Linked DNA regions of Nothobranchius furzeri. The protein of the gene in region 1 purifies or fractionates together with the protein of each later gene. This does not show direct contact. Links are inferred from orthologs where the notes say so. Each region holds a gene or a part of one and is shown in the gene's direction. Other genes may lie near its edges. The genes, in order: pes, noc3l, wdr12, ddx27 and rpl7l1.

Region 1 (5,159 bases):
CGTCACCATGGAAACGCTCTCTTCATTTCTACATGGATGCAAACTTTTTAACAAGCTTTCCATAACAGGGGTCGCCTCTTCTCTGTTGCAGATGGATATTAAAGCAGAATCAGAGCTTAAAGAGGAGTTTGAGGAGGATTACGCCATGAATTCAGAAAGCTACACAGAGGTCGGTTAGTTTTCTTTTGTAAACGGGCCAAAAATAAGAAAAATCCAAAAGGGTTAACTAGGGCTGGGATCACCCAGCCCTAGTTCACCTTAATACTGTTGAAGATTTTCTTTTCTGTCTAGTAAAAACTCAATGAACAACAAAATAACTTGAGTTATTTTGTTTTATTTTACTTAATGGGAGATCAAATGATTGTTCTAAATAGGGCTGCACGATATTATGAAAACCTGCGATATTTGATAACAGTGCATCCCATGATGACGATATATTACTTGCGATAAATAAAAACTTAACTCAGGAACAAAAATAATCAAAAATAAAAAATTCTTCAAAATAAGAAAAGCAAAAGATGTGAGGAAAGAGAAAAAGAACATGAACAAGAAAAGGCAATCCGTGGATCCCGGGAAAAGCAGAATCGGCAAAAAGAGCAGAACAAAGCTAACTCAGGTGTTTGCTAACCATCTAAACGAAGTGCTGTCTGCCTTGGGGGCGGGCATCTAACTTATGAGAACCTACCTGATTGGCCAAATGGGTGATGAGCTCTTTTTGATTTGTTAAAAAAACACAATGCTTCTGTTTGACAGAACGCATAATGTGTAGCAAACATTTGAGCCGACCATTGCGATATTTTTCTGTTCTTTGCGATATGCATATTGTGCATGCTGATATCGCGATAACGATATATTTACAATATATTGTCCTAGTTCTAAATAAGTAAAAATGTAGCTGTAGCAGTTTTTAATCTTTATTTTGACGTTTGTGTAGAAACTGTCAGCTCTGAGTGGCAGCCTGGCTCGTGTGGTTTCCACCGAAGAGGAGGAGGAGGCTAAACTCGACCAGTTTCCTGCTGAAGGGGTGAGAAAATTAACAAAGCCTTTTATTTTTCCTTTTTGAAAATGTTTAAAATGGTATCTGAGTTTTTAGCCTGAGCTGGCGTTAAAAGTTGTTTTCTTTGAGCCTGTTTGGAGATGCAGTGTGTGACTGGGGATTCACTGCTTTATGGCTGGTTGCTACAAACAAGCTGTTCTCACCTGGAAAGCTTGTTTTGCCCGACTGGTTTGGAGTTGCCAGAGAAAAAGCTCCATGTTTCCTCTGGGAGGTTTTATAAAAGAGATCTCACCTGGAGTTCAGCAGCTTAAGTTTTAACTGAACTCACAGCAAAATGATCCACGGATGCACATGTGCAGAAACAACTTGAGTCCAGCTAAAGAAGATCCCATTCAGGTTTTTTACCGCTGTTTTCATGCAATAACTGTATTAGTGTTCTAGTGTTTTGGTGATTTATGGGCTTTTTTCTGCTTTAAATAGTTTATTTTGATCATAAAACATGAACCAGGCTCCGTGATCGAAACGTAAAGCAATAATTTAGCAACAAAATCTATTTTGGTTGAAAATTAATTGGCCTAATAATGTTAGTTAATGATTTGTCTTCTGTTTAATTAGAATAACACTGTTTTTCTACAATAGAGGATTAGAGGTTAATGTGTTCATGGTTGTGCCTTTTTCCTTTTGACTGATTTAAGTTTGGAGAGAAAAACATTTAAAGATTCTTTGAATCGACCTCAAAACTACTTTAATTTAAAGTTTCACTGAGCGACTTTAAACACATAAACATCTGGATTTGTCCATTTGCATCAGGACCGCATCACAAAAATGACTGAGAATGTCAGCTGACTTGTTTTAGTTTGTATAGTTTATAAGTTAATAAACTTCTTATGTTTTTGTGATGCATACACTTGTTTTCTATGTGTGTTTTAGTTCTGTTTGGATTCAGTACACTTGTTTAAGGTTTTAAATCTGAGATATTTCTGCTGATTATTATATATCATGTTTGTGTCGTCTACCTGTTTTAGCTCAGGTGAGTACAGTTGATTGTTCCCGCGGCCGATTGTGCTAATTGATCTTTTCCAGGAGGACGTGGAGAAGATGGAGGCCAGAGAGAAGGAACAGAAACAGCTGGAAGCTCAGAAGAAGCTGTTTGACGGTCTGAAGATCTTCCTGAACAGAGAAGTTCCCAGAGAGTCGCTGGCTTTTATTATCCGGTGAGGCTCGGCCACGGGACATTTAAATCTCTTTGGGAATCTGTTGATGTTCTTTTTTTATGACTTTTAATTTCCCTTTTTCAGGTGTTTTGGTGGCCAGGTGTCCTGGGACAAGTCTGTTAGCATTGGGAGCACGTTTGACGTGACAGATGAGACCATCACACACCAGATTGTTGACAGACCCAATTTTGACAAACAGTACATCAACAGGTAGATAAATCTAGCAGTTCCATCATTTTTAGCTTTTTAGGTTATTTAATAGCATCAGGAACTTTACTTTTCTTTATGAAAACACCTGGATCCTGATTACAGGAAGTCTGCTTCGGTTTCCTTTACTTTAGTGTCACTTTTCATCTCTTTCTGTTCCCTCAAAGTGACCCAGTTTGAAATAGATATTCTCATCACTACTATTTCATGATCAGAGAAAACAAAGAGAAGCTTTATTATAATTTTCCTCTTACCAAGAGTATTTTTATATATTTTTGTTTCAGGTATTATGTCCAGCCCCAGTGGGTGTACGACTGCGTCAACGCCAAAATCCTCCTGCCCGTGGAGGACTATTTCCTTGGGGTGACTCTTCCCCCTCACCTGTCTCCTTTTGTGGAGGAGAAGGAAGGGGACTATGTTCCCCCAGAGAAGCTGAGGATCATGGCCCTACAGCGAGGAGAAAAACCTGGTGAGGGTCAGACGCTGACCTATGAGTTATTAGTCTTTGTGTCAAATTATTAATCTTTCTTTTGAAGTGAATCTTAAAAAGTGCTTTTTTCATTTTGTTGCAGCTCAAGAACAAGAGGAGGAGGATGATGAGGAGGAAGAGGAAGACGAGGAGGAGGAGGAAGGTGGTGATGATGAAGTTGATGAAGAGGAAAAAGCAGAAGAAAAGAATCTCAAAAAGATGGAGGAGCAAAAATCTCAGGGCAAGGTCGGATCACGTTTGATTTTTGCATTACCCAGTCTTTTATGTCCTGAATCTGACCCGGTTTCTGCTTTTAGTCCCTGCAGGTTAAAGTCACACCTGGAAAAGTGAGGGCAGAGAATCCGGCCCGCCTGGAGCAGGAGGAAAAGGCAGAGGAGAAACGTCTCGCTATTATGATGATGAAGAAAAAAGAAAAATACCTCTACGACAAGATCATGTTCGGGAAAAAGAGAAAAGTCAGAGAGGTGGGTGTTATCGCAGTGTGAACTCTCACGTAGATAACGTTGTGATTTTAGGTTTTTGTACGTTTTTATCAATAAATCTTTATCTAAGAATGTTTAACACTTTGTTTAAGTTGCTGTTTGTATAAAAGTAGATTAGCAGTGACCTCTTAGGTCACTGACCTCAGAAGAGTGTGTGTTCATGCACCTGCGCATGTGTGAAGTGTCTATTCATTAACGCTGATCAATCTCTTCTTACAGGCCAACAAACTGGCAGCCAAGAGGAAAGCACACGATGATGCTGAGAAAACAAAGAAGAAGAAGGCTAGAAAATAACTTCTCGTGACGCTCGTTTCAAACGGACTCTGTGTTGAATGGTTACAGGCTGATGTGATAAACCCTGCGACTGCACCGGAGAACCCTGCTCGGTGCATGAACGCTGCATATTTTAACACAGAAAAGCAGGATTCTGCATATTTGTGTAATTGATGTAAAAATAGCTCCCTTCATTTTTGTTCTGCATCATTTAAAGTCTTCATTTTAATTTCTGTGCTTTAAAATCTTTTGCATTTTTAAATAAAAAGATGATGTATTAAGTTACCTACTTGTATTATTTGGTAATGAAAATTAGTGAATTTGTGGTGGCGTGTTAATTTTATCCATCTCTTTGTAGCTTTACATCTCATCAGCAGTATTTATGAATATTTTCCATCAGAGTTTACATTAGTTCACTGGGGCGAGGGCTTCTTTGCTGAAGCGGTGGGTGTTGATGACGATCCTCCAGCCTTCTGATGTGGATAAGTGATGCTGTGGCCCAAAGGCCAGCTCCGACATCCACATCACTCCTCGTCCTTGCTCACTTTGACACACTGTCCTCCCTTTAACCCCTTCGTTTACACCCAGCTCTGCATTCCACGTGTGCCCACCCAGATTGGATCTCAGCCTGGTACCAGAGGGACAAGGCACTCCCATCTTTCACAATAGTAGCAGTGTTTGTGCTACACCATGGTGTGTGTGGGATGAGCTGGAAAGATCTAGTGTGTCTTCTAGGAATCCTGACTACATTATAAAGAGAGATGAAGCTCGTGAGCTGGACTGGGTAAGGCACCGTGTGACTGCATGTTGCCACATCCTGTCATGCAGAGGCAAATAGACTCAGACAGGAATGTTTGTTTAATCCTTTGAAATTACTGTTAACAAAGAGAAAACCTCAGGTTAGGATTTCATGAAAAGTGTCTAAAAAATGGTGGATTTAAATCATTTTTAAGTAAAGAAGAGATCAAATCAGTTGTTTACAACTGAAGATGAAAGTTTTTACATTACAGGCTGATGATCTATTCATGTATTTAGCTGATCTGTTGTGTAAAATTTAAACACCTTATTGCGTAAATTCATCCCACTACATGTATAGTTCCAGCTTGCCAAACAGGCATTTCAGACAATAGACAGAGCTGTCTTGATTAGAGAGAACAATTAAAGCTTTTGTGCTCTGTACTTCTGCATTTGCTCCTTTATGTCGCCCCCCTCCTATCAGCATGCAGCTCAAACTTCAGTGTCCATGCTCAGTAAGGCCTCTGTATGGAGACAGAATAGGGACTATGCAGCCTCTCTCCTCCCCTTTCTTCTGCTCTCTGCCTCCCTCACACTCTGTAACTAGTTTGCGTCCCCTGACAGGGAGCCTGACGTCACAGGTGGCTGCACAAACCTCCCTGCGGCGCTTTATGCAGCGAGATCAGTTTAGGAATTGAAAGTTGAGGAAGGAGGCATCAGGTGTGCACGCAAGGGAAGAGAGGGGAGTAGAGTAACAGCGG
Region 2 (5,465 bases), on another chromosome or scaffold:
ATAAAAAAAATATGCTGATTCTATTAAAAATGTAAAAGCTATAAAAACCTGGAATCTACTTGAAGAATACGACTCGTACAACTGGTAACACGTTTTCCCCCTCTCTATTCCTTGTAATATCTGATTGTGCTCTGTATTCTTATCCTTTGGACACTGTTCACTTTGGCCCCTTTGTTTGTTTGCTTGTATTGTTGTGCTTCGTTGCTATGTAAGATACCCAATTTCACTAATAACGTTTGTTAAAAAAAATCTGTGCCTGTGACGTCACACTATGGCAACGCCACACAAACCACGCTGGGACCCATTTTTTTTGTAAGAACTAAATTAATATCGGATTCTGGCAATAAAGGGGCTCTAAAACAATTCATATGTAAATATTTAGCATATTTATTGCAAAATCTCATTTTTCTGCTTTAGTGCTGCAACAAGGTTTTATTAATAATAAATCATTCTACCTTTTGTTTTACTACAGCATCGGTAAGCTTCCTGTGCACAGATTATTAAGGATGCTTGTTTCAGCTGTGAGATTAGACGATAGGGTCAATGAAAAAATAAGTTGTCACATACTCCATGGAAACTTTCAGAGAATCCACAAATATTGGCTTTTAAATGGTTTTGTTACTTTTTGCAAGTTTAGAAAAGCAGCAGATGCGACAGCATGTCTGATAATTTAGTTTTTCATCTGATAATGTTAGAACATGTCAGCGATGTCTGAGGAGCTTTTATAAACACTGTATAACTAATACTCCTGGACAGAGTATGAATTACACAGAGGCTTCTGGGGAGCCCAGTTTTTGGGGGGTGTTCTGTTTTGCCTTGGCCCCCAAAATGCCTTGAACAGGGTATCCGCGGGTCCTTAAAAAGTCTTAAATTTGGCTCCCTTAAACCTGCAGATACCCTGCTTGAAACGGCCCTGGGTGTGTGACTGAGTTTTGAAGGTGATCTGATTTGTATCAGATGTATAAATATTACATGTGTGTAACGTATTGTTTTATACAGGTAAAAACGTGTAGTGGAGATAAATCTACCTACATTTTACTTTTCAACACTAGTTTGTTTTGTTTTCGATGTTGCGTCAGTGAGGTGAAATCACCGCAGCACAGGTGATGAGCTCCGCAGTAGCAGAGCGCTTCAGGCACAAATAAGACAGAAAGTAGAGAATATGAGAGGACATGAACGATCGTGGGTTAATGATAGTTTTTTGGTTGCGCCACTTTGAGAATGGACCGTGTGCTGGACGCAGCAGCCTGGAGCGCTGCGCACCAACGATCAGCGCTCTGCCACTCTCGGTGCTCTCTGCTCAAAAGAACCCCCGGTACACTGAAAGTCCATGAATGATGTAATATAGGTAGAAAAGTTTTCTCCGGCTCTCCCTGGATGTGTAGGATCCCCCATAATTCGATCCCTGCTCCTGGATGAAAAACCGGACATTTTCATCAATACAAGACCCCCCCCCCCCCCCCCCCCCCGGACGCTCCGGACAGAGAGTGAAAAGTGGACATGTCCAGGGTAAAAATGACATATGGTCACCCTACACTAGATCCTTCCACAGCTGAAATGTTCTGGGCGGATCCTCATCCCAAAATAACAATCTAAGAAAAATAATTTTTACCAAAGATGAGGAGCAGACAGGGTGGAATAAATAAACTAAGTGCTTTTAGTTTGTTTTCTACCTTAAATGGGCGATGCATTTCTGGAATATAAACCAAAGACCTTAAGGGCAGGTTAACAGGAGGTTGTTAAAGCAGCTCTGCTGATGTCACATTGTGCTGTATTTGTGTTGTGACGGTGACCTTCTCCCTCCCTGCAGCCTCGTTCAAAAAAGCGGCGGCCAACGTTCCGCCGCCTGCTAAAGACAAGCGGGGTGAAACTAGAGAACAAGCTGAAGAACCGTCAGTTCAAGCAGCAGAATGCTGACAAGAAACAGCGGAAAGATCAGAAGAGAATGCGGCAGGCGATGAAGGGCTCTACCCTGCAGACGCCCCGCCCCCTGGAGACGTACAGGAAGCGACCAGGTGAGACTTCTTCCAGTCCAGTTTGACACAGTGGCAGCCATGTTAATGAGGAACGATCAGTTACAAGCAGCAAGGAGTCCGTACATCGGTAAATCTGTTTTTTCCTACCTGACAGAGGAGGAGGAGCAGGAGGAAGAGTTCCTGGAGAGTTTACCGACAGACATGATGGACGAAGACGACCTTCAGCAGATGACCACCATGGCTCGGAAGGCATCGTTCATTACCAGAGACCTGTCGTCATGGTGACACAGCAAACACTTCTTGTCATGGTTACACAAATACACACCAGTGGCCTGAAACACACAAACACGGATGGATATGTTATACTTAAATAAATCCAGATGTTTCTGGATGGATTCATGGACATTTCTCTTGTACACCCCAATCAATGGGGAATTGATTCTCCTCCTTGCATGATCAAAAATCACAAGAATGACGCGAAACTTTGGAAATGTGAGGATTGTCTTTGGAAACTTTAAAGTAGCCGATGAACCAGAGCTGTTGGAGTCGTTGAAAGTACTTTTTGAATGACTTTCATCTGTTATGGTTGCAAGGTTGCACTCCTGAATGTGACTGAGTGAGCTGACATCGACTGGGGTGTGTTTGTTTTGCATGGTGGGGCATCCTAGCGGGCCGGTTCATGGAGGGAAGAAGCGGAGCTCTGACGTGGTTCGCAGCTACGAGAAGGTTCCGAGGAAGATTGCTAAAATGCAGGAGAAGGAGGTGATCCATCTGCTGCCAATCAAGGACAAGAGTGGCGTCATCCCACAGAGCATGGAGAGAGGTAACACTGTGCACACACACGTTACTGATCAGCTGATTGATCGCGGTGAGTAAGTAATCAGAAATGTCACTGCTGATCTTTTTGTTTCCAGTTGTAGAAAAGCAGCCAGAGCCTGAAGAGGAGGACGATGATGCAGATAAGCCTGATGAGGAGGAAAGTGGTAAGAGATTAAAAAACAAACTTGTTGATCATGAATTGTTCACGGTGGGTTGAGAATAAATGAAACCGCAAAGGGGTGTTGCTGTCTTCAATGTAAGCACAGGGTATCCGCGGGTCCTTAAAAAGTCTTAAAAAGTCTTAAATTTGCTTTTCCAAATTTAAGGCCTTGAAAATCCTTAAAAATGACAAATAATCCTTAAATACAGTTTCCAAAGGTCTTACATTACCAAAGACCCAATAAACAAGATTATTTTATTTCTATAAAATTTTTGTGAATTTCTAGTTTGTGTTCAGCATTTTTTGTGTACGATGTTGGCGTAAGCGGAACCGTACACATTCAGTTGGTTTTGAAAGGGGGCTATTTTTAGATGAGCACATTAGCTGGTTAAGCTAGCGGGAGCTTGCGCCATGGGGAAGTGCAAGTTTAATGGTATCTAGATGGCTAATCCCATGTTCACAACGTGGTTAGTACCAGTTCCAGGCAATAGCTGGAAATTATAGCTTATATTTAATTGAAAAAAAAATTGCTTAAATTTGGTCCAAGTGGCATTAAAAAAGGTCTTAAAAAGTCTTAAATTTGGCTCCCTTAAACCTGCAGCTACCCTGTAAGCAGGAACAATAGAAAAGGTCCGATATTGTTGAAACTCTGGTCAAAGCTGTGGATGATTTCAGGATTCAAGGTTATTTAATTGCCATTTTACAGGAATACAACGACACTTGACATTGCACTTGCCTGAAGACCGCCCTCGTAAGAAGAGTGTGGCAGAAATCAATGAACACAAAATCTAAATCGTGATAATCCTTCAACTGTCTCAGTAGGAAACAAAACAGATGAAGCTCAAATTTAACAGATGTCTTTTGCTCTTGTGTACATTTCTTTTCAAAGGAGAAAAACTTGAAATAAAGAAAAAACACAAATTCCCACAGAAGTTTGGTAGATGGTGAACAAAGATGGTCTGAGTAAACCTTTAGTAAAATAATCGGTGCTCATTATATATTCTCTAAAATAAATTCCATTGTCTTCCCAAAACCTGCATGTATGTATGTATACGCATGTCTGTATGTATACGCATGTATGTATGTATACGCATGTATGTATGTATACGCATGTATGTATGTATACGCATGTCTGTATGTATACGCATGTCTGTATGTATACGCATGTCTGTATGTATACGCATGTATGTATGTATACGCATGTCTGTATGTATACGCATGTATGTATGTATGTGGACCGAGCCGTGTTTTTTTGGAAAAATGCAAAAGAGCCGCTTCATTTATTTATTTATTTTCTCTGCAAAATATTTATAGCATATTCATATTAAAATGCTGTTAGGAGTCTCGAAAAAATATTTTTAGCCAGCTTGTTTTGCGGATTTGGCATTGTAGCTAAGTTTTTTTCTTGAAACAATCTAAAGTGATTGCTCATCAAACCCGGATAAGGATGGCCGTTGCAACAGCAGTAAAAATAAAAATATCCACCGTAGTGTGGATGAGCGACTCTAGCTGTCGTCTCAGCTCTGTACCAAGCACCATTGATTAAGGAGCTATTCTGTGATTTTTCATGCGTTGTGTGGAGTGTTTATGATTGCGGTGTCCTCCTGTGCAGAGGGGGCATCATCGTGTTACGTGGGACTGACCCCAGAGCAAAGAGAGCAGCTTAGAAACCAGAAGTTAAACGGGAAGAAGCACTGCATCGCCAACCTGGCGTCAGCCATCATTTCAGACCCCATGAACAATGTAAGTGGGCCACTGGTCTCAGGTTAGACTGGTGGGATGATACTGATGCTAGTTGTGGTGGTCATGTGATGTGTGGCAGATGAAGTGTGTGAAGGAGCTGCGGGGTATGCTGATGGAGGCCGATCCCAGCGTGGCGGTCTCAGTCAGGAAGATGGTGATGGTTTCTCTAATGGAGATCTTTAAAGACATTGCTCCCACCTACAGAATACGACCTCTGACTGCTGAAGAGAAGAGCGTCAAGGTAGCTACGATTAATCCACGTCTGTCCTGGACGAGTGTGTCCTGTGAGGTGTTTGTGGTGAAACTGTTTCCTTTGGTTTGTTGTGCTGCAGGTGAAGAAGGAGACAAAACAGCTCAGAGAGTTCGAGGAAGGTTTGGTGAGTCAGTATAAGTTCTACCTGGAGGATCTAGAGCAGACCATCAAAGGTATACCACCACAACAGCAACACCGCTTCACCTCACCACTCACACAGACTCACAGCTCACCGTCCTCCTCAGATTGGAAGCAGAAGAAGAGGAAACGCAGCCAGGCGGTAGGCCTCCAGTCTTATCTCAGTCTGGCCGAGGTCGCCGTGCGCTGCCTGAGTGAGCTGCTGCTGGCTCTGCCACACTTCAACTTCCACAACAACATCGTCGTCATCCTCGTACCGCTGATGAACGACCCGACAAGGAAGGTGAGACATGCCGGACCTGTGCCGACCCACCCGAACAAGTCTGACAAGCTCAGGTAGATGCATACAACGATGCGTGCTGTGATTCAGGCGAGC
Region 3 (6,200 bases), on another chromosome or scaffold:
TCATGTTATCCTAACGGGTGGCTTTTTATCATCCAGACCTCAGAAAAGAAGAAGAAGAAGAAAAAGAAGGTGAAAGAAGAGGAAGACGAGTGAAGAGATGAAACTATGTAAATATTTTTTGTTTATTATTTTATTATTTTTGTCCCAAATGTTTACCTGTAGAGGAAAAGTCTGTTTCCTGCCACGATGAACAGCAGAGTCATCTTTTTATCCAACAACCTCTGGAAAGCCAAGAGCCAATGTGTTTTATTTTTAAAAACTGAATCTGTGCCTTGATGGAATAAACCGATTTTCCTGCTGTAACTGTGTCTTTTTCTGCTTAATAAGCTTCAAACAACTGATAAATGAAGTTAGAATTATACTAAATGTTTTTATTTGCTTAAATTATTCAGTTTGCACTAAAACATAAAGATTTAAGTGGGTGGGACGAGTTAAACTTCTCACCTTTTAACCAGGGCTCAAGCAGACTGGGAACTAACAGGAGTTCCTTCAGTTTTTTAGGTGGGTCCAAATGTTTAGGTTTGAATTTAAAGAATAATGTGAAGAAGTGAAACCTGCTGTGCTCCTAAATGACTTGTTTTAGTTTTTTTTACTGTAGCCTGAGTATATTTAATACAATTGTTTGTGGTTTCCGGAGCTCAATGCCTCAAAGAAAAATACTTCAGGGCAATACTTTTACTTAATTACACTCCATCACTGCTCTTTTCTACTATATATAAATAAATTCACAAGCGTTGGTTCCGCATTAGGTGTAATCGTCACTTTTTACTTTATAATGCCTTCAGCAAGAGAGGGCCAAGTGCCCCCCAGAACCACCCCTGTTTCAACTTGTGTAAGTATTATTTAAAATGACAAACCTGTAATCTAACACAAGTTTAAAGGCAGGCAAAACATTAAGCATCATATTGGGGCAGCAGAGCGGGTTTCCCAGCGATCGGAGGATTGTGGCATCGACCCCAGCTTCGCCGGGGTACTCTGCTGTTGTGTCCTTGGGCAGGACGCCTCACCCGACTTGCCTGTCTTGGTGGCAGGAGGGCAGATGGCACCACCCCAGGGCGGCAGCAGCTCACCATCACCAGAAATGTGAATTATGGAAAGCGCTTTATAAATCTAATCCATTACTTTTAAACTGACTTCATGCCTCACACTCACTCCACTCATTAAAGTAGTGTTGACCATGTTGACCCCTCCTGAGTTGTTCCAGGATGGAAGAATGATCCATGGAGTGCCACCAGAGCAGGGGCTTCCCAGTCTATCTTCAATAAATTCTAGAGTACCCAACTCTTCACAGAGCATCTCATATCCTGCACTTCCCTTCTCCAGCTCCAGTTTCCCCTGACCAGTGTTTTTACCTCTGTCGCCCTCCACAGTGACCACCTTGTGGCATTCACCTTTAATCTAAATTCATTAAATAAATCTGTTCTAATTATTTTTTTTAAGAGAAATTGCCTGATGTGACCAAATATGGTCCTACCTGTGGAATGGAAGTCTAACAGGTCATGTGCAGCAAATTTATGTTGCAAACATCAGTTTAGTTGGTTCTTAAGTAAAACTGAAGCTAGAACCTAAACTGGGTATTTAAATAACTTATTAATAGATACTGTACTAGAGAACTCCATAAGTAAATATCCGTGCTTAATAGATCTACGTATTTTACAGTAGCTATATCATATTTTTGTTAAATGAGGCTGAATATAAATTTCTTCTACAATAAGCAGCAAATTTTTTTAAAATAAAAATAAAGAGTAGAATCAAGGCTTATTCTTTAATCTAGAGTCTAAAAAACAATGACAGTTCACATAAATTTATAATAAACCGCGTAAATATACAAACTAACAAAAATGATCTAAAGGTTTTGCAGGTCGCGTTTTTTCATCGTGATTTCAATGGATTTCACACATGGGGCCTTTAAGAGGTTTGCAGACCTGTTTTTCCCAACTTAATAGAGCTTTGAGTTCGGTTTTCCAGAAATACTTTATGAAGGAATCATGCGTCATAGAAACGTAGAAAATACTGAATCTTTAGTTTATTGTGAACAAACAGCCAGGCAGTACTAGATGCGCACTGATCCAGAGAACCCGGCACCGACTGTATCTGTGTTTGACTTTTTTAGCCTTCCTCTACACCACATGGCCACAGTGTCCTGACTTGGATGTTGTTACAGATCTACAGATATTAGCTGATTTTCTTTACTTTTAATCTGCTCAGAAAACTCGCAGACAGTAGGAATGTCTCAGTTACAGGCGAGGTTTTTTACGGAGGACAAAAGGTGAGTTTAATTCTGGGGTAGTGCGGTAAAAGCGGACAGGCTAGCTAAATAGTTAGCATCTATTTTCTCTAAACGTGTGTTAAATTTGTATTCAGGGTTTAATTTTCTGAGTTTGAGCTTCTTATCAATGTGCGTAACGTTTTCAACTTCCTACTGGCCTCGTGAGCAACCGATTAGAGGGCTTTTAGTGTGTTTTAGCTCCTTTAATGTTAATAATATGAAGTTTGGGTTTAATCGTTGATAAAGGTCAACCTGTCTCCTGGTTGGGTTAACGTTTTGTTGGGCCTTGATTTGTTTGCAGGTTTGTTGTAGATGATGTCCCGTTCTCCATCCCAGCTGCCTCTGAAGTGCAGGACCTCAGTAACCTGATCAACAAGCTGCTGGAGACCAAACATGGTACACACCATAACACACACAATAAACATAGTACACACAGCCTCATACACACTATAGAAATGGCACACACCATAACACACTATAAACGTCGTGCACACACCCTAAAACACACTATAGAGAGGGTACACACACCATACCTTCTCAGTGGCCTAATGGTAGAATGTCTGCCCTGGGACTGGCAGATCAGTTTTCAAATCCTTGTTGGGCCACACTAAAGACAAACAAATGTGACCCAGTGCCTCCCTGCTTGATACTCAGCTTTAAAGGGTTGGATTGGAGGGTTAACGCACCAAATAGTTCCCGAGCACAACCACTGCTGCAGCTCGCCGCTCCCCACAGGGCTGGGTCACATGTGGAGATGTAATTTCACCGGTGTGTGATGATGACTGAGGGGACTATAATACATCTTTAACATGGTAGACACCATAACACACCACTAGCACGTTACCCCCTAATACACACCATAAACACAAGTAACATGTTGCTAAACTACATAAAATGTCGACTGTAAAAAAAAAAAAAACTACTCATAACAGCTTAGTTTGGAGTTTAAACTATTACACATAATATGATTTATAAACGGTTATCATTCTTGTTTTATTTTTTACTTCAGTTGTTTATTTATTTATTTATTTAGCAGAATCTCACAGCAAGGTGGAGTTTGACTTCCTGGTCAAAGGTCAGTTCCTGCGAACGCCACTGTCGTCTCACATGGAGGCAGAGGGTGTATCTACGGTACGACCTCATCACCTGCCACAGAGACCAAAGCTGTCAGTATGAGTCTGACATCTGAGCTTCATCTGCGTGTATGGTTGTGTGTTTTAGGAGGACGTGGTGGAGATTGAGTATGTGGAGCGGATCACAGCCCCTGAGCCTGAGGAGTGCATGATGCACGATGACTGGATCAGCTCAGTGGATGCAGACTCAGAATGGTAAGATGGAGACCAGACCTTCTGGTTTTCTGTAACTGTCCTGTGACTCGTCCCTGTGTCTCGTTCTACAGGATTCTAACGGGTTCCTATGATAAGACAGCCAGGATCTGGTCTGTGGAAGGGAAGCAGGTGATGACCGTAGCTGGACACTCAGATGTTGTTAAAGACATAGCCTGGGTCAAACGAGGTGAGCAGACTGGGACCTTGGATGTCCCTCTTTGTTATTATTAACTTTAATGTGGACTCTATGGATGTCCCAGATGGCCTGACGTCTCTGCTCCTGACGGCTTCTCTGGACCAGACTGTCCTGCTGTGGGAGTGGAACTCTGAGAGGAACAAAGTTAAAGCCCGCCACTGTTGTCGTGGACACACAGGAAGTGTCGACACAGTGTCCACAGACCCCTCTGGCTCTAAAGTAAAGCTTCAGGGAATAGAAAGTGTTCATAGATGAGTTTGGTTTGTGTCTGAGATTGTTTGTGTCCTTTTGCAGTTCTGCAGCGGCTCCTGGGACAAAATGTTGAAGATCTGGTCTGCAGGTGGGTGAGCGATGAGAACATTTAAGCTGGAAAACCTTACCTACAGCTATAAAATACATATCACCTGTGTACCAGAGACAATATCACACAGTGCAGGGAAAATGAGACATGGAATAAGTGAAATAATCGTAATAAATGTTGACAGGTATGATTCAGCAGCAAAATATTGAGACAATGTGCTGTACACACCTGCTCTGCCCGACCAGAAGGTTGATGAAGAAGTACTCTCCCTAGATGCTGAGAAGGTGTTTTCCCACTGTCACCTCTCCAGTTACAGTGGAGCCTTTGGCTGTTGCCACGAGGTTGAGCCCAGGTGTCAGGAGCATCTCACATCTGGGATCTACTGTTAAGTCTCTCTTTATACCGATGATAGGCTTTTATATTTCAAATCCTCTTTCTGGGATCTCCAAGCTGTTGGCTCTTCTTGGGACATTTGGTCAGATCTCAAGTTGTGAGGTTAACTCTTTTGGAGCAGCAGCTCTCTGGCCCCATTCCATTTAACATCGGCCCAGATAAATTTAACTATTTGGATTACGCATACATTTAAAGACCTTTTTGGGACTAGTTATGATCCTTTATTAGCTAATCTTGAGAAATATCCAGATGGGAATCTTTGTCCCTGTCCTGGGGAAGAAGGACAAACATAAAGTTCCTTTATCTGTTCCAATGTCTCCCAATTTTTCTTTTTAAATTCTTTTTTCCGGACTATGTGGCACAACAGATGTTTATAAATGATGTGTGAAACAGAGTTTAGGAGTAAAGCTGGAAACATCAGCTAGAGCTGTGTGATTAAAGTGACAGTGTGTACCTTCCCTGGCAATAGGGGGCAGTACATACCTAAATCTTTGCAAGCAAGCAGTATTTTTGTGTTGAAGTAGGACTTTACTAACGGATGCCGATTAGGTTCAAAAAGCCATGGGGAGTGCAATTTTGAGCAAAATAACAAGCACATCAGATTCCCTTCCATCACTGGCAACAAGTGAAGAGATAAATGTGTAAAAGAACAACATTTAAGAACGGCGAAAGCTTTGTAACCATTTGTTACAAATCAGTAAATGCATTTTGTCTTCACAGGCTCCAGTAGAAGGAAACATGGCATCTAATATGGCGTCGCCCATAGACTTAGACCCGCTTCCATGTGTTTTAGACCTGATTTTTATGGATATTTGTTATGAAGCAGCCAGCTAGGACTTCATTTCTTTCATTTTCAACAACATTTTGATGGATATTTCTAGAAATGAATGGTAAAAACTACACATGGTCTCTTGAAGAAACACTAACTGCAGGACGGTGAGACAAGCTCGAGTTTTCCCTTCTAATCTTGTTTTTGTTTTAAATTCACCTGAGTGAGAGTGAAACTAGCTGAGAGATTTTAATGTTTTTATTGGACATTGGTCTCCTTTAATCCACCCCTGGCTCCTGATGAAATCTGTTAGTTTTTCTTTGACCCAGTAAAGAGTCGATGTAAAACCATAGAAAGTAGATTAACAATAGAGATCAGAGTCACCATAATGAAATGATCCAGTGCTGATCAATTAACAATGTGGTGACGATCATGAGCCTGATCCAATGATTGATATTAGATTAAAACGCATCTTCATAGATTCAGAATGACCTCTTCATGGCTGCTGTAGCAGAGTCAGATCAGCTGCTGAGGGGTTCAGTCTCACCTAAACTGTCATCGTTACTCACAGAAAGGGTTAAAGTTCCTGCTGTTGTTCCTCCAGTGCCCACAGATGAGGCTGATGAGGTCGAGGAGCCCGCTGACAGACCCAGGAAGAAACAGAAGACTCAGCAGCTGGGCCTGACTAGGGTAAAAACAGATCAGACTAAAATCTGAACGCCACGGTTCCAGCTATCAGCTAACGGAGTACCACCTCATCTCCCGCTCTTATAGACTCCCTTAATGACGTTATCTGGACACGGTGAGGCGGTGTCCTCTGTGCTGTGGTGTGACAACGAGGAGGTCTGCAGTGCATCGTGGGATCACACCATCAGAGTGTGGGATGTTGAGACCGGAGCCCTGAAGACCACGCTGGTGAGATTGAGAGGCAACACAGGAGTGGT
Region 4 (6,085 bases), on another chromosome or scaffold:
AAGCTAGAGCGACAGGAAAATCCTCAGTGCTTATCCTGCTCGACTTATCGGCTGCATTTGACACGGTCAACCATGGCTTCCTTTTGTCCACACTCTCTAGCATGGGCATCACGGAGAAAGCACACGCCTGGTTTGAGTCGTACCTCACAGGACGATCATTCAGTGTATCTTGGCTTGGACAATCCTCTACCATGCACCATCTTGCCACAGGAGCCCCCCAGGGCTCTATACTAGGACCTCTTCTCTTTGCCATATACACCACCTCACTGGGTGAGATCATTCGATCACATGGCTTCTCCTACCACTGCTATGCAGACGACACCCAGCTCTATCTGTCATTTCCACCGGACGACCACACTGTCTCTGCACGAATATCAAACTGTCTCTCTGACATATCAAAATGGATGAAATCCCACCATCTCCATCTCAACCTATCTAAAACTGAACTACTTGTCATCCCAGCAAAACCATCCATACAGCACAATATCTCAATCCAAAATGACTTCCCATCTCTGGCTCCTTCAAAGGCAGTTCGAAATCTGGGTGTTGTGATTGATGAACACCTGACCTTTAAAGATCATGTTGCCTCTGTTGCTCATTCATGCCACTTTACGCTGTATAACATACGAAAGATCAGACCATACCTAACACAACATGCCACCCAGCTCCTGGTGCAATCCACTGTCATCTCCCACCTTGATTACTGCAATGCCCTTCTAACTGGTCTTCCAGGCTGTACTGTGAGACCTCTTGAAATGGTCCAGAACACAGTGGTGCGTCTGGTCTTCAATCAGCCAAAAAGAGCACACGTCACCCCTCTGTTCATTGAGCTCCACTGGCTACCGCTAGCAGCACGCATCAAATTCAAATTGCTAACACTAGCATACAAAGTCCGAGATGGTACGGCTCCCATCTACCTGAATCCTCTTGCAAAGGCTTACGTCTCAGCCCGGTCGCTCCGGTCATCACAGGATCGTCGGCTAGCAGTGCCTACACCACGCTCAGGCAATCCAGACTCTTCTCATGCATTGTTCCACAAATGTGGAATGACCTTCCAAGCACTACCAGAACTGCGGCTTCCTTTTCAATTTTCAAGAAACTCCTGAAGACCCTGCTCTTCAGAGAGCATCTTCTTAACTAGCACCTTGCCTGCACATGTCCCCTCTCTCTACCGTCCACTCCTTGTTCCCTCCTCTCCATGAGTGATGTCAATGTTGTTGTTGTTATTGTTGTTGTTAGCCTCAAGGGCAACATGCCGATTATCACAAGTCGCTTTGGACAAAAGCGTCTGCTAAATACATAAACATAAACATTTGATTTATTTTTAATTAAGCGAACAGACAAGGGGTCAGTAACTGGGAAACACTGAGCACAGATTTTTTTTTACATTTTTTTATTATTCCTGAACAAAGACAACAGAACAAGGTACCACATTAAGGTACACACTCTCATGGAGGATGTAAGCTTAAAACAGGCTAAGGGGCTTATCAAAGAAAAAAATAACATAAAAAACAACAGAGCATGAGTTACATAGGAAACTCAAAACAGAAAGTTCTCAGTTAGATGAGAATTGATTCTTGCATTTTTTCCATTTTTTCATTTTACTTAATGAACAATAGAATAGTTTAAATTTGCTCAAAAAGCATGGGAATGAGGGCTTGGTACCCCTCCATTTATTGCAATGGATGTGATATTTGGCTAACAATACAACCATATTGATAGCATCAGAAAAAGTCGCATTCAAGTCCTTCACATAGAACAGAATATCACCAACTTAAAAAAAATCAATAGTAAGTTTGAGATTAATCTATTCATTAATGTCATTCCAAAAAACTCATGAATGTTGGCAATAATAAAACAAATGTTGCAGGGATTCATCTTCTGATTTACAAAAAGCACACAAATCAACATCAAGTTTAAACCTTCTTTCCAGAAACTTAGATACAGGACATATTCCATTTATTATTTTAAAATGAGTCTCTTTTACCTTTGGAGAAACAGGCCATGTTTTGAATATGCAAAAGCCATTGTGACTTCGCAGTTTGTAAACTTCTTCAAATTACTTCTGTTGTAATCATAATAAATCTTTTGTCGCATACCATCATTGATGTTCTTGTTATTACATTTGTTTTCAAGTAAGTTGCAATTATTCACTCTTAACGTAGGTATTGTAATGATCACAACGGAATTTATTATAATGTTTTTAATTAGCTGAATCAGTGCTACTGGGATCGCTTTACATATCTTTTCCAATTCTTTATACCTACAATTAATATAATATTTTTCACTGAGGGATGAAAATTTACACTGAGCACAGATCTTTGCTGTTAGCTGCTTTTATAGGATGAACGGTTTGCTGCTCCGCACCAGCAGGTGGCGCTAAGCCACCAGGAGACGGCACTAACCGGAAATAACAATGAACATTTCCGGTTTCCGTCCACACGTGTGTAACTGAACGTGTGGAAAGATCCTTCAGAACCCGTAAAAACAGAGTTGGAGTCATGTTGGAACAGTTCGGTCTGATCGGAACCATCCGGGACGAGGACCAGAGTCCGGATGAGCCCGACACAGAGTCCGAGCAGGAGGTAGGTCGGTCCGTAACACCGGAGGAGAACCAGAACTTCCCACGGAATCGGTTTAAGTCCCAGGGGCGCGATCAGAACACAAACAGATCAAACAAACCGATGTCAGGTGGGTTAGGGTTAGCTGGGTGTCACGTGACCCTTTCTCACGGAGGTTCTAAAACAAAACCAGGGTTCCTTCAGGTGTCTGGTGTCTTCGTAACTCCATGATGTGATGTCAGGATATCCTCCAGCAGTCTGAGCCTATAGCAGCATAACTAAAGGGATGAGCCAGCACGAGCGTGCAGCTTTAGAGAGAGGACGGTCTGAAGCAGACAGGAGGGTCTTCCCCACCAGAGAGGAGCCTGGAACCTGAAAGCTCTGCCTCCCGTTCATCTGTTAGAACCTCATGAAACCACAAGGAAACATGCAGTCTGCTGGGAACATCTGGAAATAAGATCTTTGATAGATGATTGATTTGTGTACCGCTTTTGTTTGCAGGAGGAGCCGATTGTCCTGAACAGGAAGAAGAAGTTTGGGAATCAAGCATCAAGAGACTTTAACTTTGACTTTGACTTTGAAGAGAGAGATGGGCTGAACCTCGATGATGACTGGCCAATGGCAGATGTCCTAAAGCAGCTCAAGAAGAAGGTAGAATCCGACAGGAACCCTGTTCTTCGGATGTCAGCAGAATGTTCTCCAGCTGAGTTTGTTTCTGTTTGCAGAGAACGGTGACTACTTTGGATCAGAAAATAGAGAAAATCAGGAAGCAGAGGAAAGCTGAGGTCAGTTTCTGGTCCAGCTTCACTTCACCGTTGATTTGTTGTTCATGCTTAATTATATCAGTTTATTTTTAGGAGAAATCCTCCAGTACCACAGCTGGAAGTTCAGTAGAGCCAAAGGAGGAGGATGAGCCTCCTGCAGGAGATGCTGCTGATGATGGTGATGATGGGGAAGAGGAGGAGGAGGAGGAGGAAGACGAGGAGGAGTTTGACTCAGCTGATGAAGAGGTTCTCACCAAATCAGGTGGAATTACTAGAGTTTTTTGTTTTGAGCTGTTTGTGTGAAGATGTGATTCAATCAAGCAGACGGCATTCAGTTAGGGTTTGGGATCGGTCTGGGAAATTTCTGGGAAATGTTTGTTTGCTGAAGGTTTTTGTAATTTTGTGACAGGAAAGCTAAATATAAATGTTCAGGTTTAAACCACACACACACACACACACACACACACACACACACACACACACACACACACACACACACACACACACACACACACACACACACACACACACATCTGACCTGCAGTTGAAACAGACTCACGAGTTTTGGATTTTATGTTTCTCACTTCCTGCTTCCTGTCAGACACCTTGAGGGAGAAGGAACGTCGAGGGAAGAAGAGGAAGGATGAGGTGAGGAGGAGTAGAGGTGGCTCTGATGGGTTAAATGTGCTGCATTACCATAGTAACAACCACATTTGTGTTCAGGCTGCAGAGTCATTTTATGAAGATGCGTCTCAGTTCAACGATCAACTGACCTTTGAAGACATGAACCTTTCCAGACCCATCCTGAAGGTAAAACCCAAACAAAAGGAATTCTAGAGACCCGTGTAGTCTGAACCGATGGTACCAAACCAGGCCGTAGCCCAGATCCAGACCAGTCTCACCAGTATCTGTCCTTTCCTGTTTGTTTTGTTGCTGAAGGCCATCACAGCGTTGGGCTTTAAGGAACCGACACCGATTCAGAAGGCCTGTGTTCCGGTCGGCCTACTGGGCAGGGATTTGTGTGCCTGTGCTGCTACTGGAACAGGTACCGCTGACCTACTGGAACCAGTTAGCTATTCATTAACCCAGGTGGTAGCATGTTAGCTAGATCAGAACAATCCCAACTCACCTGTTCTGTGATCCAGAACCATCCGTAGCTTGGTCTCCTGGAGCGTTCTGGTGTTATGTTATAAACGTGTGGTCTCCTCAGGGAAGACGGCAGCCTTCATGCTTCCTGTGTTGGAGCGTTTGATTTATAAACCCAGGACATCCCAGGTGACCAGGGTCCTGGTTCTGGTTCCTACCAGAGAGCTGGGAATCCAGGTTCACTCTGTGGCCCGTCAGCTGGCCCAGTTCACCTCCATCACCACCTGCCTGGCTGTCGGTACGAACGCCTCCTGGCTGCGCATGGATCAAACCCAGTTCAAACTGGTTCTGGTGGTTTTCTGAACCATGTTGTTCTGTCCAGGCGGTCTGGACCTGAAGTCTCAGGAGGCGGCGCTGAGGGCAGGACCTGATGTCCTGATAGCTACACCTGGCCGACTGATCGATCACCTTCATAACACGCCGAGCTTCGAGCTGAGCCACATCGAGATCCTGATCCTGGATGAGGCGGACAGGTGAGGATTCACATCTGAGGAACGGGTCACAGAACACCGCTCTGATGCTGTCTGGTTCTGTCAGGATGCTGGACGAGTACTTCGAAGAACAGATGAAGGAGGTCATCAGGTTGTGTTCTTACAACAGACAGACCATGTTGTTCTCCGCCACCATGACAGAAGAGGTACGCACCAGGTCACCTGACCCGTGCTTTTGTGGTTCACACCCCTGGTGTTTTATTCGGGTCATATGACTTGTGCCCTTTGCGGGTCATGTGACCTGTGTCTGCAGGTCAAGGATCTAGCAGCAGTGTCGCTGAAGCAGCCCATCCGGATCTTTGTGAACAGCAACACAGACGTCGCTCCGTTCCTGCGACAGGAGTTCGTCCGGATCCGACCACACAGAGAAGGCGACAGAGAGGCTGTGGTTGCAGGTAGGAACCAGTCCTCCTGGGATTGTGTTGTCTGTGGAACGCGTTTCCTTGTACTGAACACTGTGGTTTCTCAGCTCTGCTGACCCGGACCTTCCAGGACCACGTGATGCTGTTCACTCAGACGAGAAAACAGGCTCACAGGCTGCACATCCTGTTGGGACTGGTGGGCCTGAGAGTTGGAGAACTGCACGGCGAACTGAGCCAGAACCAGAGACTGGAGAACCTCAGGTACAATCTTAGTTTGGGTTGTTAGTCCTGACTGTACCGGATGTTCAGAGGTTTTTTTTTGTTGTCTTATTTAACACTTCTGCCTGCCCAAAAAGGAAAGTACACCGGAGCTGAGCGCCGTGACCGCCGTCCTCCATGCTGCGGTGGTTCTGTTGTATCGCCATAGTTTCACGCTTCCTTGTTCTCCGTGTTCTGCAGGCGGTTCAAAGATGAACAGATCGATGTTTTGGTGGCGACAGATGTGGCAGCTCGAGGTCTGGACATCGACGGAGTGAAAACGGTGAGATGTTCAGAAAACCAGCGTTTTGGTTGCGCTTGTTTTTATTGTATCTGGCGTTGGTCAGGCTTAGACGGTTTCATAAAAGGAGTAAAATTTCCTCCAGTCGGGTTAGAAATGTGGTCGTTAGAGCCGTAATATCAGGACCTTTCCTAACGAAGCACGTTTTTCGGCACTAGTTCAGATTCTGAACCTGGTTCCGGGTCCTCCGATCCACAAATGA
Region 5 (6,031 bases), on another chromosome or scaffold:
CCTTTCGGAAATATGGGCACCAGCAGTAGGGCAGGCCAAGGAAGTCCACACGTTTTAATTTTATTTTATTGTTCAGTTCTTTTGATTTTATTTGTTTGTGGTGATGTTATAAATAATACATGTTTCTATTTAAAACACAATAAATCAGAGATGCCACATCTGAATAAAGCTTTATCACCTCTGCTCAGTGGTTGCCCTCCATCCCAGCAGTTGAAAGAGCGTGGTTGTGGTACGGATCTTTCTCTTGCTGTTAGGCAGTCTTCTTCTGGCTGTCTTTAAATCCAGGTTGGAAACTCACCTTTAGTCTCTGGCTTTGTTATTGTTAAAGGTAAACTATATAAGAAATGAGTAACAGTGACCTCCTGTGGTCAGATGTGGTTACTGCAGTTTCTGTGGGTTGCCACGTTGTGATAGGAAACTAAAGTTTACATGATTTAACAACCATTAAATACTATCTGTGTTTGCACAATTATGATCTACACTGTTAGCTTTTGCTGTCATTCCCATAGCGTATTACTGTATGGACAAGTTTAAAAACCCAAACTGGCATCACTGTCGGACTGGAATGATCAGTTTAAAGACTGAAGGCAGAGAGGAAAATTATCTCAGCCTGACCCAAAAAACGTCTTGTCATCCGAATCTGACGCCATAACAGCCTTGAGAGGCTAGCAACAAACCCCCACGAAGGGATGCAGACAGATGCTGTGAAAACCCGACCTACCCCCACATCTCATCCACCCAGATCCATCCATCACAGTAAATATTGGTTAATGTGTCATGTTTTAATTGTTTGGAAAATAAATTCTTCCTTTTTATAAACCCGACTCTTTCCTGAATCAAGACGGTGTTCAACAATCCCTGAATAAACAAAGAATCCCAGAATCTTCTGAGTAAACATCCAAAGACCGAGCAGGTTGATGTTCTATATTTAGAGTATCACAGCTTATTGGTCATAAGTAGAGGTAATATATAGAGCTCTTAAAGCACTTCATTTACCACTCTACGTGTGTGTGTGTGTGTGTGTGTGTGTGTGTGTGTGTGTGTGTGTGTGTGTGTGTGTGTGTGTGTGTGTGTGTGTGTGTGTGAATGCTTTCAGGCATAAGGTAATACATTAGTTAATAGGATTAAAGTACTGGAATATAAAATTTCCGTAACAAACTGTGAGTGTAAGATTTTTTTATGTGTGACTGAAGTCATGCATTTTGTGTACTTGTACCCAATATTTTGAACTGGTGTATCTGTTGTTTTTGTACCTGTGAAAGATGTGATTTTTCTAAATATTTCTCTGTGACTTCAAGTTCCCAGGGATAAAAACACAAATGTTATTGCACCAAATATCTCCATAAGGATACGAGCTTCTGGACTTTTGCCTCAGCCAGGCTCATGGATGCGTCACCACCATCGACACACACATAGGTCGCCACATTGGAGACAGGAACAAGCACTATTCAGCCAAAGTTTCGTAACCAGGGAACATTTTCTAAGTGACAAGTCTCTCTGAGAGACCGGGTTTAGAAAACACTCGCTTCAGTGGGAGGAGTGAGTCTGTATGAGGCAACAGTCCAGAAGCTCATATCCTCTTCAGCTCAGAAAACTCCTATAGAGACATTTGTTGTTTGTTGTTTGTATTCATTCTAAGTGAGATAATTTAATTATAACGTTCTGGACACACTGGTCAGGTTGTTTAGACCGGTGCTTGAAGTGCAAAACACACACACACATAGCTGCCGGCAAAATTGTTTTCATTATTATGTTATTATTATAATTTCGGGTCTTTATCATTTTTGTTAATTTTAAAAGATGGCAATGTTGATGTTTAAAATTGGCATACAGATAAAAAAGAATGATGTAAAATAAAATACATTTTAAATAAATATTCATTAATTATTTTACAAGCACAGAGAGGCGCATGGGCATCAAATGGATGAAAGAGCCGACCCCTGGTCAACGGTAATCCCAGTTTAAATCCTGTACTGATGTATCAAAGTAGACTACTCATCAGAGATTAGAGGATGTGTTTTTATAATAATATAATATAATAATAATAAAATTATAATAATAATAATATAATAATAATAATAATAATATGATGATAATAATAATAATACAATTTTATTGGCTGATACTGAATGAGCGCTCTTCGCTTCCAGTCCAGAAGGTGGCGCTAGTGAACCTTTGCTTTTCTTTGTTTAACACCAGAAGAAGCGGCTCCGCGGTGTCAACATGGCCGAGCCAGAGTATGTATCTGTTTTCAATGCCATCGCGGTGCATCCGCCTTAGTTTCAGCTGTAATTAAACTCATCTGATGTTTATTATGTAGCGCAGCTGTTAACAGGCCAGCTCAGGTGTGTATGTGTGGCTTAGACGGCCAGGAAGCCGCCGATAGTGAGTTTTAGTCTCACATGGATGGGTTCGTGTTTATGTTTAGACGCTGAAGCCGGTTTACAAAGTTCCGGTGAAAACGTTAAAATGTTTCCGCTGGACGGATCCGACAGCGACAGCCTCCTCTTGTCTGAGTTGTTGTGTGGTTTTCCATCAGGTCTGAGAAGGTGATCAAGCTAGTTCCTGAGTTTCTCCTGAAGAAAAGGAAAACCTACCAGGCGATCAAAGCCACCCAGGCTAAGCTAGCTCTGCTGGAGAAGAGAAGGGTAAAGTGTGTGTGTGTGTGTGTGTGTGTGTGTGTGTGTGTGTGTGTGTGTGTGTGTGTGTGTGTCCCGATCAGTTCTTTTGCCCAGGAATCCGAGTCATTTGATTTTTTTGATAATCTGCCGATATGAGTCCCGATCCGATACATTCGGTAAAAAAATAAACAGATCCAGAATGTTCTTTAGTTTTTCTTTAATTAACCTTATTTTATCATTCAACAATTCTGTTTAAAAAAGAATCACTTCTGGGAGATATTTTGAACAATCAAGTAATAAATACAGTGTTTCCCTTAAAAATCTCTCCAGCTGTGGTGTGTGTGTGTGTGTGTGTGTGTGTGTGTGTGTGTAAAACACTGAAATGACAAATTCTTCACTTTTGGGCTTTAGTGCAAATATATAAAAGTCTAATATAAACCCTCAGGATTTCCCTCCCATCCCTTCTGTCGAAGCCTGTGGGAGTGTCCCATCTCTGGACCTCAAAGGTTCTGGGCTAGTTCAGCGCTGGTCCTCACACATGAAAGACAAACGTGTGTGTTCCTGATTCTAATCTGTACTCCTGGTTTCTGTAGATCTCAAAAGGAAAGCCTTTAAAGTTCAAGCGTTTGGAGGACTTCCTGAAAGACAGCCACAAGAAGCATCGTGATGACACTCGCCTCCAGAGGGCACACCACAGGCCACCTGCCCCGCTGCCGTCGGCCAAGAACAAACTGGCCTTCGTTGTTCGCATCAGAATGTGAGTGTCTGTCCAACGGGTGAGCGTGGTGGTTAGGGCAGTCTCTCTCTCTCTCTCTCACATACTGGGCGACGGTGGCACAGGAGTTAAGAGCTCGCCCTGTAATCGGAAGGTTGCAGGTTTGAGCCCCGCTCAGTCTGTCGCTGTCGTTGTGTCCTTGGGCAAGACACTTAACCCACCTAGCCTGCTGGTGGTGGTCAGAGGGACCGGTGGCGCCAGTGCTCGGCAGCCTCGCCTCTGTCAGTGTGACCCAGGGCAGCTGTGGCTACATCGTAGCTCATCCCCACCAGTGTGTGAATGGGTGAATGACTGATTGTGTTGTAAAGCGCCTTGGGGGGCTCCAGGACTCTAGAAGGCGCTATATCAAATACAGGCCATTTACCATTTACTCACTCACTCTCCCTCTCCACCTGTACAGTGTGTTTCCAGGTTGCTGAGATCAGCTGGTATAGAGACTGGCAAGGTTGGCAACTTGTTGACGTTGGTGAACAGGGACGCCGAACATAGCTCAAAACATAGCAAATGTATGGTAATGGTGATATATATCGGCATGTTGTACGGCTGGGCCATACGGCCTAAAATCAATCTCACGATATATTGCAGATTTCACTTCCATGTCAGTAAATGGGCTCTAGGGAGATTTTCTAATGGCAAATGCTGCGATTTGACTGGCAGCGAGTGGTTAGCCCAATGCTAATATACATGGAAAAACCCATAGGGATGCTAATATTGTCGATTACATTCTTACAAATTATGAATTAGAAATGTGCCAAGTGATTTGGAGTCTAATAAAAAGTAAAAAATACGTTCTGGTTCTGGCAGGGTCAAAGGTGTCAGCCCCAAAGTCATGAAGGTGATCCAGATGATGAGGCTGAGGAAGATCTTCAGCGGAGCCTTCATCAAGATCAACCAGACGTCCGTCTCCATGATGAGGATGGTGGAGCCCTACGTGGCGTGGGGGTGAGGCTTTCTGACTGCTGGGTCGGTAGGTTTGGTTCTGTGTCGCTCTGGGTGATGAACACTACCTTTCCCAGATATCCCAACCTGAAGTCAGTCCGGGAGCTCGTCCTGAAGAGAGGCCAGACCAGGATCGGCAGGAGAAGGGTTCCTCTGACAGACAACAACTTCATAGAGCAGCACATGGGTGCGTCACACTGCCCTGAGCTCCAGCTGGGAACACACACACACACCACACACACATCACACACACACACAGCGAGGCGCTGCGGATGGTTCACCAGGCTAGAGGACAGTCGCGTCAAAAGCACTTGCATTCATTATTTAAGTAAAGGTACAGACACGAGGGTTTTAAAGGACTTGTAGAAGTTCAAGCATCAATTCAAGCTTTTTATTCAAGTCAAATTATAAAAGTACTGGTTTCAAAACTACATCAAGTAAAAAAGTAGTAGTAACATTAATAAGCTTGGGTCACGTCCACCCACAGGACAACAGAGTTACCAGCAAAAGCACCTGGTTCTCAAAGTTCTTTCAGCCCTGCAACAATACGTGTGTGTGTGTGTCTGTGTGCGTGTGCGTGTGTGTGTGTGTGTGTCCGTGTGCGTGTGTGTGTGTGTGTGTCGCGGTTGAAGGAAAGAAGTGATGTATAAAAACGTACACCATCTGTAACTTACCAGGATAAAAATCCTCCAGAAGGTGATGCTTGGTCCGCTAACCCACAACAGCAGTGATCTACTAGAGTTGTGTAACGTAACCGATCAACTGAGTAATAGATTACTTAAAGCTGCAAGAACAAGACTGATCGCTGTTTCTGGTAAGCAACAAGTAAGGCCTGATTTTTATTCTCCATCACCTCAAGGAGACACACACACTCACACACACGCAGAAGACTCGTCTTTTTCAGCAGCACAAAACAGATCCAGACAGCAAGATGGCGCCGTTGTCTTTCTTATTTAAAACCCGTAGACTAGATGTTCAGACATGCTGGAGTTTGCACGGCCTCCTCACACTATTCAGAACTAGTGAACACACACACACCGCTGTACCAGAGTGCACACACACACCGCTGTACCACATAACTACCTACTCGCCATACTGAGCTTCAGGCCGGGCTCGCTTAGAAGGAAAGAAAGAAAAGCACCTTTGTTACACGACTCCTCCTGAGGTGGTCGCAGGTGAACATTTAGAGGAATAAAAGCGTTTTTAGAAGCTTCACCGCTTCACTCCAAAAAATGAGCCGTTACGTGTTGAAAAACAAAATGCTCCCAAGTGTTTCAGCTAGTATTGTTTAGACATGAAATAAAAAAATAAACTGCAATTTGCTCTTTACATCCTAATCCAGCCCACTGCCTCCTGCTGGTGTTACTATTATTGTTGTTGTTGACAAATCTAAAATAAACATGCTTCATTTTTAGGGTTCTTTATGGTTTTCGTGTTTTCAGTAGTAGAGCCTGGTCCGTTTGGGTTCAAACATGTTATTTATTTATTTATTTCACTGATGATTAACGAGAACAGGCCGGCGTTCCTGGAGGATCGGGGGTGAACGCCGCTGCCCTACATGAGGGACGGCTGTGGTTCGGAGTCTTTCCTCCGTCCTCAGCATGCTGCTCACTCGCTCTCCTCTCGTCTCGCAGGTAAACACGGCATCATCTGTCTAGAAGACCTGATTCATGAAATCTACTCAGTTGGGAAGAAT

The links.
Region 2: the proteins of pes (region 1) and noc3l purify together in Homo sapiens (affinity purification with mass spectrometry; 3 studies listed by BioGRID and IntAct, counting the BioPlex papers as one, with this or other methods). This does not show direct contact. The link is inferred for Nothobranchius furzeri from reciprocal best matches to the Homo sapiens genes PES1 and NOC3L.
Region 3: the proteins of pes (region 1) and wdr12 purify together in Homo sapiens (co-immunoprecipitation; 7 studies listed by BioGRID and IntAct, counting the BioPlex papers as one, with this or other methods). This does not show direct contact. The link is inferred for Nothobranchius furzeri from reciprocal best matches to the Homo sapiens genes PES1 and WDR12.
Region 4: the proteins of pes (region 1) and ddx27 purify together in Homo sapiens (affinity purification with mass spectrometry; 4 studies listed by BioGRID and IntAct, counting the BioPlex papers as one, with this or other methods). This does not show direct contact. The link is inferred for Nothobranchius furzeri from reciprocal best matches to the Homo sapiens genes PES1 and DDX27.
Region 5: the proteins of pes (region 1) and rpl7l1 purify together in Homo sapiens (affinity purification with mass spectrometry; 4 studies listed by BioGRID and IntAct, counting the BioPlex papers as one, with this or other methods). This does not show direct contact. The link is inferred for Nothobranchius furzeri from reciprocal best matches to the Homo sapiens genes PES1 and RPL7L1.

Annotation. Positions count from the first base shown.
Region 1 is NC_091757.1:45,265,853-45,271,011, reverse strand, and holds the end of pes (pescadillo), read left to right. Parts: intron 1-91; coding exon 92-169; intron 170-934; coding exon 935-1,024; intron 1,025-2,080; coding exon 2,081-2,211; intron 2,212-2,295; coding exon 2,296-2,421; intron 2,422-2,702; coding exon 2,703-2,887; intron 2,888-2,990; coding exon 2,991-3,133; intron 3,134-3,204; coding exon 3,205-3,372; intron 3,373-3,609; coding exon 3,610-3,684; 3' UTR 3,685-3,948; downstream 3,949-5,159. UniProt on the Homo sapiens protein: Component of the PeBoW complex, which is required for maturation of 28S and 5.8S ribosomal RNAs and formation of the 60S ribosome.
Region 2 is NC_091756.1:51,138,630-51,144,094, reverse strand, and holds part of noc3l (nucleolar complex protein 3 homolog), read left to right. Parts: intron 1-1,810; coding exon 1,811-2,015; intron 2,016-2,130; coding exon 2,131-2,257; intron 2,258-2,644; coding exon 2,645-2,799; intron 2,800-2,890; coding exon 2,891-2,959; intron 2,960-4,567; coding exon 4,568-4,698; intron 4,699-4,777; coding exon 4,778-4,939; intron 4,940-5,030; coding exon 5,031-5,124; intron 5,125-5,196; coding exon 5,197-5,372; intron 5,373-5,465. UniProt on the Homo sapiens protein: May be required for adipogenesis.
Region 3 is NC_091742.1:74,277,206-74,283,405, reverse strand, and holds the start of wdr12 (ribosome biogenesis protein wdr12), read left to right. Parts: upstream 1-2,102; 5' UTR 2,103-2,228; coding exon 2,229-2,269; intron 2,270-2,570; coding exon 2,571-2,665; intron 2,666-3,302; coding exon 3,303-3,400; intron 3,401-3,490; coding exon 3,491-3,597; intron 3,598-3,668; coding exon 3,669-3,784; intron 3,785-3,857; coding exon 3,858-4,012; intron 4,013-4,087; coding exon 4,088-4,133; intron 4,134-5,860; coding exon 5,861-5,946; intron 5,947-6,030; coding exon 6,031-6,171; intron 6,172-6,200. Other genes in the region: nop58 (nucleolar protein 58), read left to right, coding at 37-93.
Region 4 is NC_091743.1:76,918,617-76,924,701, forward strand, and holds the start of ddx27 (probable ATP-dependent RNA helicase DDX27), read left to right. Parts: upstream 1-2,273; 5' UTR 2,274-2,501; coding exon 2,502-2,585; intron 2,586-3,062; coding exon 3,063-3,212; intron 3,213-3,286; coding exon 3,287-3,346; intron 3,347-3,418; coding exon 3,419-3,587; intron 3,588-3,926; coding exon 3,927-3,973; intron 3,974-4,048; coding exon 4,049-4,135; intron 4,136-4,264; coding exon 4,265-4,370; intron 4,371-4,535; coding exon 4,536-4,709; intron 4,710-4,793; coding exon 4,794-4,944; intron 4,945-5,008; coding exon 5,009-5,108; intron 5,109-5,215; coding exon 5,216-5,357; intron 5,358-5,431; coding exon 5,432-5,585; intron 5,586-5,783; coding exon 5,784-5,865; intron 5,866-6,085. UniProt on the Homo sapiens protein: Probable ATP-dependent RNA helicase. Component of the nucleolar ribosomal RNA (rRNA) processing machinery that regulates 3' end formation of ribosomal 47S rRNA.
Region 5 is NC_091742.1:28,213,830-28,219,860, reverse strand, and holds the start of rpl7l1 (60S ribosomal protein L7-like 1), read left to right. Parts: upstream 1-2,159; 5' UTR 2,160-2,223; coding exon 2,224-2,237; intron 2,238-2,539; coding exon 2,540-2,648; intron 2,649-3,214; coding exon 3,215-3,378; intron 3,379-4,200; coding exon 4,201-4,338; intron 4,339-4,412; coding exon 4,413-4,522; intron 4,523-5,969; coding exon 5,970-6,031.